Linked DNA regions of Lepisosteus oculatus. The protein of the gene in region 1 interacts with the protein of each later gene in a pairwise test. Links are inferred from orthologs where the notes say so. Each region holds a gene or a part of one and is shown on either strand. Other genes may lie near its edges.

Evidence for each region.
Region 2: the proteins of cytoplasmic protein NCK2 (region 1) and pik3ap1 interact in binary tests that used the Homo sapiens proteins (3 or more experiments, as listed by UniProt). The two-hybrid records come from large-scale screens. The link is inferred for Lepisosteus oculatus from reciprocal best matches to the Homo sapiens genes NCK2 and PIK3AP1.

The regions. Positions count from the first base shown.
Region 1 is NC_090710.1:24,272,244-24,279,301, reverse strand, and holds the start of cytoplasmic protein NCK2, read right to left. Parts: upstream 3,024-7,058; 5' UTR 2,849-3,023; intron 1-2,848. UniProt on the Homo sapiens protein: Adapter protein which associates with tyrosine-phosphorylated growth factor receptors or their cellular substrates. Maintains low levels of EIF2S1 phosphorylation by promoting its dephosphorylation by PP1.
Region 2 is NC_090699.1:34,468,282-34,475,472, reverse strand, and holds the start of pik3ap1 (phosphoinositide 3-kinase adapter protein 1), read right to left. Parts: upstream 3,020-7,191; 5' UTR 2,657-3,019; coding exon 2,624-2,656; intron 1-2,623. UniProt on the Homo sapiens protein: Signaling adapter that contributes to B-cell development by linking B-cell receptor (BCR) signaling to the phosphoinositide 3-kinase (PI3K)-Akt signaling pathway.

The sequences.
Region 1 (7,058 bases):
AAAGGGAAGGTTAAGGTGGCAGATACACTTAAGTTATCACATTCAGAACATAAGTTGCTCAAGGAATGTGGAGTCTAGAAATCTCTGAAACACAGAATACATAACTAATAATTCTGCCAGTTTGCAACTAAAGATTTATACATTCATTCCCAAGTGGAATACAGGGTGCACAGCAAAGATATTAGGAATGTTTACAGTCATCGACTGGTTAAAGCACAAGCATACTGCTAAACTCTGAAAACACTAGTTCATTGCATAGCCCTCTACACTGTACAAGAACCAGACTCAAGTACTTTAACAGCACTCTGTGGCTATTTCCAGTCATAAAAAAATCAAATAAAGCTGATCACTGCAGTATGAAATCACCATGGCTTACAGTTTAAGAGATGTTTGTCCAAAGCTATTGTTTTATTTATTTTCAAAAATAAAGTAAATGAATTAAAAAACAGACCTTTATAAATTACACAGGGTGGAGTGGGATGCACAAGACGTGGCATGCTCTGAAGGGAAAAGGCATCAAAAGACAGCAGTGTCCAATTATGCACTGGTAACAAAGCAACATTGAAAGGCCATTCAAATGTTAGCCACAACCAAAACATACAAGAATGTAAAGCTGTGTGGATCACTCCTAAGAAGGGGTCAAACACTACTCTTCCTAACCTGTTTGCTGTAAATATACTGAAGGCCAAAGTCTTGAGTCGAAAGAATCCACTACTCTTCAGGACAGAAAACAACTGAGGGAATAATTATGAGGAAAGGCTGCCTATTCACAAGGAAGATAGGGGGGGGAAAAACAAAGACCTTCATCTACAGCAGAAAGAAAAACTGTCAAGACTATTGTACCCATTGTCCATGTGCCTACAATTCCAAGCCCAAGCACTGACAATGGCACTTGACTATGTCAATACGTATAAGGAATCACAGAGGTGTTGCTATCCTGTGTGCATTCTGTAAGCCCATTTATTGTTACACTTAAAGAATTGCCTACCATCACCATGTATGACAGCTTTATGAATGAAAAACGAGACATGACAACATGAAATGTACCTTATGACTTCTTCATGCTATAGCTAGCACATCTTGAGAGATCTTACCTGTTCCACTTACTTGGCCCTTGTGTCTGATATCACACTTAAGTTTGGCTTTACTAGCATAGCTGTTTTTGTCATTGAATTTTTTTGTTGATAGAAAGCGATCATCACGGAAGAGAGTATAACAGAATTGTAATAGTTTCCCTGCATGTCTGCAAATGTCTAACGAGGCAAAACAAATGTTGAAATGGGCAAAGAAAAGTTTGTAGGTGATACCAATTAATCAAGATGTGCCTGAACAGGCTAAAGAATACAAAAACAAATTAGTTCAGAAAGTCTGGTATCTATTATTACAAAACTAAAAGAGATAAGCGAGTGCTTTCATTTCTGACACTATTAATACATCAATGTCAGCATTTCATATTTTCCCAAATGACTTATTTGAATGTTGAAAAGAAAGCCCTACTATTTTTACCTATAGTGGTTTATCAAGTTTCATTCTACAGTATGTGCCTATGAAGACTCATCCAAGTAATGTTATAAGCAGAGAATACAAGGTGACTTCATTTCTATGGGGCTGTTACCTTAAAGAACCTAAAGAGCAATTTTCCATCTACATGTAAAACTGAAGATGAGAATTAGACATAGCAACTCAGTTTTTGAAAAGAGCCTACAATTTTAATTTTAATGCTCAAAAAAGAAAAAGCCATTATTATTCAGCCTTTCTCTGACAGAATACCATATCAATTTAAACTAAAACAGCAATAAAATCTTCACAAGATTAAAATTAGTAGCTCATATAGATATTGGTGTGACATACAATACTTTAGGCTATATAAGAGTGTTGTTAGTATTATAAATATGGAATAGAGTGTCATACCTGTACTTAAATCAGGGTGTGTTTTAATATTTATCTAATTCAGCAAGGATAGGGCTGATATCAATAACAAAAAAGACACTAAAGTTTTTTTCTCTTCCAAAATGTACCCATACCAATATGTTTATTAAACATTTCTGGCAGAGCTATGCTTTGACAATAAATTCATCACTATTAACCGTTTTCGATTCTACATTAATGACTATGCACACCCCATTACCATTACTGTGGATAACGTGTGGTTGTTGTGGCTGTCAGCAGTCACTGAGCAAAAAAATGATATCGATAAAAAATTGCGATTTGGGCATGATGCTTATTATGGGACAAAGAACTTAATGTCGTTTCTATTTTTCCTGTGGAAGTTGGAAGACTATACAGCAAACAGCAACGTCAATGCACACTGAAGCGATACCGTGAAGACAATGGACACATGCAAGATATCTAAACCACTACAAGACGCAATAACACGTTTAAAGTTACAGCCCCCTTATCGTCAAACCGGCAGCTATCTGCCATGAATTATTCGTGCGTTTTTCCACAGAGAGAACGCTGGCAGGCAAGAGCCCCTCGAAGGCGGAATCTTTACAAGCGGCTCCGAAACGCCATCATCACCATCCTATTGAATCCCGTCTATTGTACTGCTGTAGAGTCTCAGCCACAAATAACAAAGCCACTGAGCTTAACGCGGAGCTCAACACTAAAACCATCTAAAAGCACAAGCACCTAATGATGGGAATTTTACTTCAGAGGTCTTCCAGACCCCTTTGCCCAGGGAATGTATTTGCTTTTATTAAAACACGGCTTGATATCCATCTGCTCAGGACGATTTGTGAATGAACCGAAAACACACCAACGCCAATTACAGTACCCCCCCACCACCACCTCCAGAAGCTGCCACACCAACTTTATACTCAGTTCCTTAATTTTCTTTCCCTCTTACCTTGGTGTAGCTCCGGTCGGATCGGGCGGGGAGGCAGGTATGCAAATAACCCCTGTGCAGTTCAGAACGTTTATATAAAATACTTGACAGAGGGGAAGAAAAATCCAGTTTTATTCCAGGTCCTTTCTTTACAGGCCCTGCAACTCCACTCTCGTTCTCTCTCTCTCCCCCTACCTTTAGCTCAGCCCACTGTCTTGCTCAATGACGTCAGCCCTGCCATAGGACTGAGAAAGCTGGAGCACCGAAGCAACTGCGCTGGGAAGCCGCTCTGGACAGAGACGGGCTGTCTCTCTTACATCGCCAGTGCTCGCTGCTGCCAATTGCTGTGTTAACTACATTATATGTCCGGACGAGTACGCAGACTTTAGTGTCAGCTTAGCTAGCACTTCTTAAGAATAGATGGGCACACGGCAGGAACGATCATATTAATTAAATGAAAAACTAAAAAGAGGACACCAACTGAGACATACAATTCGTTGAGTAAACTAGCTGGCTTTATGCTGAAACTGAAATGCTCTTTTAAGGCTTTTAAGACGAAACATTGAAAATAATGATACAGCAAATATTGCGCATTCAAATACCGTCACTCACGGTATTTACCATACGTTATGTATTTTTTCAAGAGAAAGTGTTTTGAAATGTTTGAAATACAGTGATGAAAATTGTCAAGCGGAAATAAAACCTCGGATACCTCTTATGCATAGATCAAATGGCTATAGTTGTTCCCCGTTTCCTTACAGGAACAAGACATTTCCTGATTATTAACTTGATTGCCTCTATTTTTAAAGGGTATGGGGGGCAGAAGCAGTGAGGCGCATACATGCTAATATAAAGTAATTTCCTACTAGACCCCTGGAAGTATGCAAAAATGTATATTAAATAATACTATATTGCAATTATATTAAATTATGTATATTTTAAGCAGAATTTGCATATATAATATTTTTAAATTATCTATTTGAAAATTATATAATAGAATAAAATACCTCTTTTCTAGATCCTGTTCTCTTTTAATCATTGTATAAAGTGCTTTCTGCACAGACTACAGCTTTCCTTTCTTGCTTTTGACTTTCTTTTGGGATGAATCTGCTCCGTATTTGTAACTTTGTGTTGCCATCCACTCTACTGAATCTATGTCATTTGTATCTACAGCAAAAACATTTCTTTAAATTTCAGGTTGACTCTTTCCTTTATGTTCAGTTTTTCCGAAATTGCCAATCTTTCTTTTGGGCTTAGCAGAATTTCTAAATATACTTCAAAACGTACATATTATGATCACATTTCTGTGATGGTTTTCCTCACTCTGTTTCGATTGTTTGAAAACACTAGATCAATACAGGCATCACCTTGGGCTTCTGATAATCTGAGTATGGAATCATTCATTACCCATTTCTACCATTGCAGTTTCAGCTACTGACCTACCTGGTGGTTTGTCCAAATCTACACGGGGAAAGTTAATATCTCCCACAATAACAACTTCTTTTAAACATATTTTCCTGAATTAACTGCAAAAGACTGAATAGTTGTACATTCATATAAGTTGTATATGAATTTGGCAGTCAGGAGCATGTTCCTACCCACTCATGTTATATTCTTCATTACCACTCAGTCCGCTGTGCTGATTTTGAGCATCTTGAATACTTGTAGAAGTTCCCTCATATTCTTCTCTGTTTAAAACTAAAAATGTATTTCAATCTGTCAGTGTAGGATATTGCTTATTCCTTTATGTCCTGGAATGCACCTCTATTGCTCTTCTCTTGAATGATTCCAGATTGTGACCACAATTGTACATAACATTGTACAAAAAAGACCACAGTAGTGCATTGTACAATTTTAATGTGACATCCCTTGACTTGAATTCTGTACTTTTGACTATACAATCTAAAATTTTGTTTGCCTTTTTATTATTTACCAGCACTTTCTGGAAGATGTAAACAATGTGTTGACAAAAACACCAAAGTCCTCTTCATAAGTAGCTTCGTCTAGCTCATTGGGTCCTATTGTTTTTACTTTTATACTAACTGCATGCAAAACCCTGCACTTCTGTACAGTAGATTAAATGCAATCTGCCAAGTGTTTTCCCAGTTTTGAATTAAAGCAAATTCTTTGGGAATTCCATTTGCTGATTCTACAGTGTTATTCTACTATGTACATTCTACAGTGTTAGCTAATCATTCTAATCTGATATTATCTGAAAGATAGTTTACGAATTATACCATAATCATTAATATAAATTAAGAATAGCTGTGGTCCTGGTAAATACTGTGGTACTCCACTAATTACATCGCCCCAATTTAATCATTTAGTTTTAATCATGTTTATTTGCTAATTATTAATCAGTTCTCAATCCAGTTGCATACATTTCCTTGCAGGACTTCAGCCTGTAATTTCAAATTAAATCTGTGATAAGTAACTTTATAGACAGCTTTCTGAAAATGTAAATACACCATATCTTATGCCCTGTATCTGTCAAAATTTCACTTAAAGGTCAATTGGTCAGTCATAGATAAACATATAGATATATAGGGAACATGTGCGTTCCTCTTAATTTTAATGGATCATTCTCTATGTCAGGCTGACAAAAAACAGGATTGCAGTTACAGCCGCCCAGCCACTATAGGCTGCTGGGCAGCCTCTAATCTTTGTAAATAGCTACACAGTGGGTGTTAATTAGGTAATTGATTAGATTTGTGTTAAAGATATTATGGTAAAGGTATTATAAAGGTAAATGTTATTATTTTAGTGGTAAAATAATATAAGAACATTTGTTTATGGCATGTTTATACTGTATATGAGTTTTATTAACCCTTTATTATATTGGATATTGCACTTGCCTGGAATGATTCAGCAGCAGTACTGTATATTTTTGTGACATTGTGACCACAATTGTATATCATATTCTAAATTAGGCCATAGTAATGTATTGTACAATTTTAACATGTCATCCCTTGATGTATAATATACACTGATTACGCATTGTATTTTTCACACCCTTTGTGGTTCTTTATTAAGTATGAAACTTATGGTCAGCTGAGCTGCTATGTCTTAATGTCACAACTTTACACAATTGAGGATACTCATTTATATATAAAAAATAGGTTATTAATAGTTATGTTTTCTATATGCTGAACTGCATTAACAATATTTGGGGTTTCACTGATCTTAAGATGAAAATGTTTTTTTTTCTATTCAAATTGATATTTTTAATTTTGTCTGCTTTTTAGTTTGAAACCATATTATATTGTATACAAATAAGGTTTCTCTGTAACTTTCTAATAAAAACATTCATGGTCAAATAAAAAAGCTCAAAAGCAATTGTGGAAGCTAGCAAGCTAATCACCAGCACTACTACCAGGTCAGCCATTGCAAAAGTTCCATCACTCACTGCAAGTGAAAATCATAAACTATAAAATCAGAAGGTAATTGTCTTTAGTATCCTTAAAAATGTTTAGTTACTTATGTAATTAATATATTAAATTGCCCCAGTAACAACAGATAGAGACCATTAAAATTGTCTTATTTCAAAACCTTAATTAATTGGTTCTCATTAAAATCAGTGAGCTCCCTCATATACTGCAGATTTAAAATGTTGTAGTAGAGTTGCAGTAGCATAGTGGAGCAGTGGTTAGCATTGCTGCCTCACATTGCTGGAGCCCTGGATTCAATTCCAGACCTGGTGTGCAGAGTTTGCATGTTCTCCCCATGTTTGCATGGGTTTCCTCTGGACCTCCAGTTTCCTTCCACAGTCCAAAAACATACCAATAGGTTAATTGACTTCTCTGAATATAAAACGTGGTGTGAGTGTGTATGTGTGTCCATGTTTGTGTTTGTGTCTCACAAAGAATGTCCATGGTACACCCCGCCTTGTACAGTTGGTTGTCAGGACAGGTTTCTGCTCCCCTGTGACCCTGAATGGGATTAAGTCATTAGAAAATGGATGGATTGTAGAATCCTGCAGTGTTAGCAGGATTGTCTATGCTAACACTGGGAGCACAGTAAAACTACAAAAACTGCAAAGAAATACTTGAAGAGCCTGCTGCATGCACGCATTACCTTTATAAACAAAGTTTGCATTCTCATTGCTGAAGAATAGGACCTGAATTGTATGATTCACTTGACAGATTGTTAAAAAAAACTCAAGGTCAAAATCCTGTACCTGAATCATCATTCTTTATTATTAGTATAGATTAGCATAATCCAGAATTGCATG
Region 2 (7,191 bases), on another chromosome or scaffold:
GGGAGCACAACATTAGTCAAACCAAGTCAGTAATTACTGTTAAGTCCCAATACTATTGACTACCTTGCAAAACCTGCTACCATATCTGATCAAAGTTATTCACACAATTTCATGGACAACCTTTACAAAGCAATTCATTTCTGAAAGGTAACCGATTACTGAAGAAATTCTCATTTAAGCAGTGATATATTAAGTTTTTTGATCCAATGAAATGAAAAGGGTTAATTGCTGAACAGTTAATTGCTCTAACTCTATCCTCTAGCTGTAAATCTTATGTTTATACAGGAAAAATGATTTTGATTCTGTGACCACCCACTAAATTTAAATAATCCAGTGATTTAAAAATGCATTTAAGTCACTTGAGCTTTGATTTCAGATCAACATTATTTCCTGATTCTTCTTCTTCCATGAAGTATGTACTGTACATCAACATTATTCCCATTAGTCAAAACTATTATTTTGTGATATTGTCAAAAACACATATTGTCAAAAAAAGCATATTAAATAAATTGTGCATTTACAAAAGTGTACACTTTCAATTAAATTACATACTGTATAATATTGACACTACACACAAGACAAAGAACCTTTACAAATATCTGTCATAAGCAAGGAAAATATAATAAATTAAAATGAATGCAAACTAACATGCATATAGTATCCAGAAAAACCTACTACTTTTATTAGCTTACTTTTGAGAAATTCCTTGAGAGTACACACAAGGAAAAATGTATATCTTGTATTTGAACACGTTAATTTCCATACAGGCTGTTAAAGCTCATGTTTTGAATGTCTCATTAATATGAAATTAATAGACATGTATCACTCCAAATTTTATACTTTTCAATACTAAAATAACTGCCCATTCAGTAAATGTTCATCATTTTACAATGTAGTCAGAATATCAAGTATTATTATTTATTATTTCATGTCTAAAATGTCCAAATTTATATCAAAACTTTATTCACTTCCTAATTGCAAGTTTTCCACTGTTCTTCATAAAAAGTTTCCAGAAACAAAGCCTAATGAAGCAACCAAAATACCTAGATTGGATCTGCAAATTTTTACTTAAATATGTTTAAGGTAAAACTATAGATTAATACAATTTTAAAAGACTGAATTTCTGAAAGCATGAAACTTCACAATATTTTAATTAACATGTAAACAGACCTGCATTCTGAACAGTTAGGAAAATGGAAGGAGAAATGACACAATCCAACATCACAACAAATACTAATAGTATTCATTCATTTGCTTTGTGATTTTTTTTAAATCTAAACACCTGGTTGTACTGTATGTTGTATAATAATTTTATGGATTGCAAAAGAATTTCAAGCATTTAGCATTTATGCATTTTAAATTACTGAATTATGGTACAGCCCCATAATAACAGTACAGTCCTGCTTTGAACCAGCATGTGTGCATGCAACATTTAAATATTAAATACTTTAAATAATAATTGTGTCAATTGTCCATTAACTAAGGTATTAAGTGCGTTAAGATATTTGCTGCTATATGTCTAAATTTAGAAATGTCTGAGTTAAAAAGACAGAAAGCTGACTTCAGATTATTAGTGTAATATGTCTATTAAAGGATCCATTAAAGAATAAGAAATATTAAGAAATGCTAAGAAAGATTATACAGTAGGATAACTGTAAGGATTTGTAAGGATAACTTAACACTAGTACCAAACCACAAACTGTCTGAATTCTCATTTCTGTTTGAGTTCTAAATGCTTACAGCTAAGCTTAGTGTAAGCATAAAAATGGGACAGAATTTGACCCCTAAGGGACCTATAATAGTACATTTGTTACAGGTAATATGTCATTCTCTTTGAAGACATATGTTTCTTTACAATATTTGCTTCATAAAATCCAAACAACTGTTACTTTCAAAAGTCAACAATTCAAGCAGCTTGTAAACTGTCCCTTTTTTACAGTGTTTTTCTAGCATAGTCTTCAAATTGTTAAAGAAAAATAGCACATTTTATAAAACTCTTCAGTTTAGGATGAGAGATTATTTTTATAAGATGCTATTAATGAATTTTCCATTACATAAAATGAGAGTACAATACAGTATATAGGGTTTTCTTAAATTTAAAGAAGATGATAATATTGATTGTGCTTGTTCACAAAAACATAACACATTCAATCTCTAAATGTGCGTGGCACCTGCAAAGTATGTTTTACAGAACACTTCAATATTTCGTGTCTTTCTGTAACTACCACTTTTGTATTTACTTGGAAATTCAGATCCTCATTTCTGTTTTGCAGAGTGGACAACTTATTTTACTTAGAAATTATGGTTATGATTCCAGTTACATTTCAGTGACTCTAATGAAGTGCATGCAAGAAGCAGATCAGATAAGCTTCTTTTATTTATTCCTCTTTTCCAAAACAATGATGCTTACTGTATAGTATTACACTATAATGGAAATTCTAAGCACTGGTTCGCTGCAAATATACTGTACTTCAGAGTTTGCATATATGTTAGGTTCCGTATTCATTGGATATTAGAAAGGTTTAAACTTTTTACTGATGATAAAAAACAAAAAAAGAAAAGTTGTCAACAAAATAGAGATACGTGCTTACAAATATATACAAACAATATCACAACTACTTACCTGAATGTGACATGTCGAAAAGACATAAAACATTCCTGGACTCCGAGCTGCTCAGCGGTTCAGCCTCCCTGTATTAACTGAGCGCTTCAGTGACCTTCTATAGCTTCGCCCCTACATGCAGTCCTGCCATGTTTCAGAAATGTATTTGCTTTTATATCTATGCAAATGTGTAAATTGGATGTAAAGTTGTTCACATCTGGCGGTCTCGATGCAGTCAATAAAAGTTTACAAGTTTCATCTCACAAGTCGACTCTTCCCCTCCATCGCTCCGCAGAGAATAACAGTATCAACCAGTCACTTTTTCAGTTTCCTGATCTTACTGTGACCAAGCGTCACTTCCTAAAACTGTCATTAACTCCGAAGCTGAAGTGTTTGCACAATTGATTGTTTGACCTGTAGAGAAAAGCAAAGAAAGCACAACCTTGGTAACTAACGCAACATTCCAGAAATCAGGTGACTTATTGCGCTTATGTATTCTTAGCGCCGAATTAAAAAGCCATTTTAACAACTTTAATACACCTGTAAAGTCATTCCATATGTGGTTACGTACGCATCGACATCAGAAAACAAACATGTCTGCCGCAAATATTTCTTATTTCGATGTTTTAAGTAGAATGAAAATAATTGTGAAATAGTATTCACTGGGTCTGCCATTAACGCGGTCGCTTGAACTCAACTACCCAATATGACTCAAACAGCATGGACACAGTAAGGTACAGTACATGAATGCAATTTGATGAAAGACCTACTGTACAATTAGGGTTTCTACAAGAAGGACAACAAAAACTTTCATTAATTTAAAATGAGAAATTGTTTAAATATGAAAGAATACCATTACTTAACTATTACCATGCCATATTCCCTGGAGCTTTTAGAACAGATAAAAGTGTTTCTAGGGTTCTGTAAGGTTAAGAAATAAGTTCTAGAGGCTTTGGTACACGACCTTGTCAACAATTATCGATTTATAAGTGTAAAGACACTGGTGATTAATAATAATTCACTTCCTAATGTGACATCTTTGAAAGTTTACATTTAAACTGCTTCTTCGCACCCGACGCGTAAAGTAGGACTAACAACAGAGCAGTCATGAGAACTTAAAAAACATTAACATGTACTACTGTACCTAACATCCTCGTGTTATCTAGAGGCATATAAAAAAACTTTGCAGAACTGAAGGAAATGTAACTGACACAGTTGTCACTGGACTTATATTCAGTGGAAACAAGACATTCAGATTAAATGGTCTGGGGAGATAGTCCTATACAGTACAGTAATTACAGAGCCAAAGCATCACAGGTTCTAACAAAACATCACGACTTCAAGATTCATTGGATAATACGTTTGCTGTTTTTTAACTAAATGTAAGGATAACACTTAATCATAATAATTTATCAGGGATAACATACATTTGCTTTTGAGCGTACCAAATGAAATGAAAACATTCAGAGCATATGCAGCCGTTCAAGTACTGTATATAATCATTGCAATGCCAAGCTCGATCAAACTGTAAAAAACAGCAACTTTTCAATTTCTTTAATGCGGAAGAGGCGAGTTTAACCTTTCGGATTTTTGAGTTTTTTTTCCATTCTTAATGTTTTGGTTCCCCGTTTCTGAGTTTCCGAACGTAAATTAGATAAAATAAAACAATTCGTGTTCTGCAAAATGCTGAGTTTCTCAAGTTTATATTTGCTGTTATATTCTTCTGAAGCATTTTTAATACGTCAGACAAGACGCTTTAGAATAAGAAGAACGGTCAGGACAAAACATCGGAGTACATTTTTTTAAAACTATTTGCAGAAAACATCATTTTAACGCACTGAAACACAACCACGTGCTGATTTTGACGCTCGCGGATAAGCTTTACCGGAGCTGAAAATTGTGCTGTTATTCTAAATATTAGTATAATCAATTGTTATTGCTAAAAGAAAACGCTTGTGGTGATTCGCTATAACAAGAGATTCAGGTCAACAGTATGCATTAATTTTTAGGTTCACAAAAGAGAAATAAAAGTACCTTTGTATCAGGTGTTTCCTGTTATGATAGGAGACATATGAGGAAGTTTCAAGGACTTGTTCAACCTGTTTTGTTATAGAGTGTGGTGTATTATACAGTATGTGCTGATTCTTTTACCACAAATGCTTTGTAGGTATCAATATTTAGGTTTGTTATTAAAATTGTGTCCAACCATATTATCATAATCATAGAAGTACTTTTATGAAGTACAATGAAATGGCAGTAGGTGTGTTCTAAAGTTGGACATAGGCCTGGTTTTAGCATCGCATTGCCAGAACACATAATTGATGAAGGTGATTGTTCTTACAGTCAATCAGAATCATCATACATTGTAGGACCACTGAAAAACTTTTTTTAAAAATAAGCATTTTAATTTTATGCAACATGGTAAAATGCTTATTAAAGTTAAACAATAAAGATTTAACAGAAGTGATTGAGAGGATATTGTATTGTAAAATATTTGTAACTTTTCATCTATCTATTTTCTTCCCACTTCTTTCAAAGCTCAACAAGCAACAGGCACACACATAGACACAGACATGCACACAATTGGGCTCACAGTAGGGCCAGTATTCCCAGAGACCAATTAACCAGTATGTTTTTGACTGTGGGGGGAAACCGAAGCACCTGGAGGAAACCTACACAAACACAGGGAGAACATACAAACACACAGATAGCACACAAGGTCCAGATTGAAGCGAGGGCCCCAGCACTGTGTGGCTATCAGCAATGATAACCACTGTACCACCTGTTTTTAACTTGACAATACTTGTCAATACATTGAATACTAAAATTCAATAACATACCACCAGAGTATTTCCTTTGCTTCATATGATGAGCTCATGTTCTACAAATTAAATATATATATATATCCATTAATGGAAGTATGTGAGTTGTGTACAGGCACATGTAACACAAAACACATAAATAACAATGGTGATTTTTGTTGATGGAAAAAATGGATTTGATTGGACCAATTTTAATACATTTGAGGAATTAAATGCAAATGTCCAATATCAATGGCTTTTGTTTATTTGCTTATTAAAAAAAATCAATTTACCTGTGGAGTATTAATATATAGCAATATGTAATGAAGGCAATACAATATAATCAACATTTTTGTATTAATTTTGCAGCCAGTAAAGCATTTTAACACAATTAAAAAAACAGTCCTCTACTTTTTCATGTGATCTAAACCTATTTACTCATGAAAAATAATGAAGCAAAGAACTGAAACACAAAACATAAAAATGTTATATCAGTTTAGGTACAAGATTTTAAGCTTGATTTTTAAGGTTGATTTGAAGACTTATTTTTGTCCGTGTTGTTTCATACTCAATAATTGTTAGAAAGAAAATATAGAAAGATGTATGAAACACTTGTCCAAGACCCATGATTACAAATGCTCTTCTGTAATTCTTGAGATTTAAGAAGATGGTAGTGTGTAATTAGAGCAGCACAGTCTCCTTTTGATTTTGTTAACTTGTGATCTATTAAATGTTTTTAACCGTTTCTAAAGATAGAAGCACCTGCTATTTTCTGATGTTGTGATAAAAGATATTGGCACTTCCCTTGCATTTTTAATATATTTATTACTATACTTAACATAGTGCCAAAAGGTTGTTTTACAAAACTTATCTGATTGTGGTTAAACTTTGTAGCATCTTTTTAACGCTTCTCAAATCGGGGTCAGGTTTAAGTAATTTCTTTTACACCACTCAGATAAAACCTAAAAGTGGGTTACCGGAATTCTGCAGCTGTAAAACTACATCATTTAAAAAAGATGCAGAAATATATTCCTAAAGATAAACATGGAGTAAAAACATCTGAATCCATGCAAACAAAAGGATACCATTTGGCACAGTAAGCTTCTTTGGTTTGCAATAGCTAATTGAGCTGTTGATTTTATCTGTTCAGTGAAAGAACTAGTTGGATAAAATAAAGATAGCAAAGGTTTAGACAACATAGTTGGGTAACTTTTTCCAGGCACCGACAACCACTTCTGTAAAAACTGTCTCCTATTCTCAATTTTAAATGCAGTTCCCCCTAGTTTACATTTTGTGTCCTCTGGTGTACATTTCACTGTTCATACTTTAGAAGTTTGTTGGGTTGACGGTCTCACTGCCTTTGAGGATTTTGAATACTTGAACCATGTTCCATTGTAATATTCTCTGTTTGAAACAAAATTATTTTTTGTCATTTTAGCCTGTCAGAGTATAACATGTGGTAATGTACTGTACCTGAATGCTCTTCTGTGTTTTGATGCTAGAGTAGCTAAATGGAATGACGAATTCTACATGATCTCTTACTTGTACAGTTTTCATTTATACTTACAACAAAATAGATGTTATGGTTTTTACTATATGCTTGTAACACTCTGCACTAGTCTACATTAAATGTAATCTGCTAAATGTTTGCATAGTCTTGAATTCTTTCTAAATATTTTTGAATTTTTTTTACAGCTTATATTGCTGGCTAATCCTTCTATTTTGGTATCCTATGTGAATTTGACTAGTTTTCTAAGTATATCAGAATCTAAATCATAAGAAGAAGAG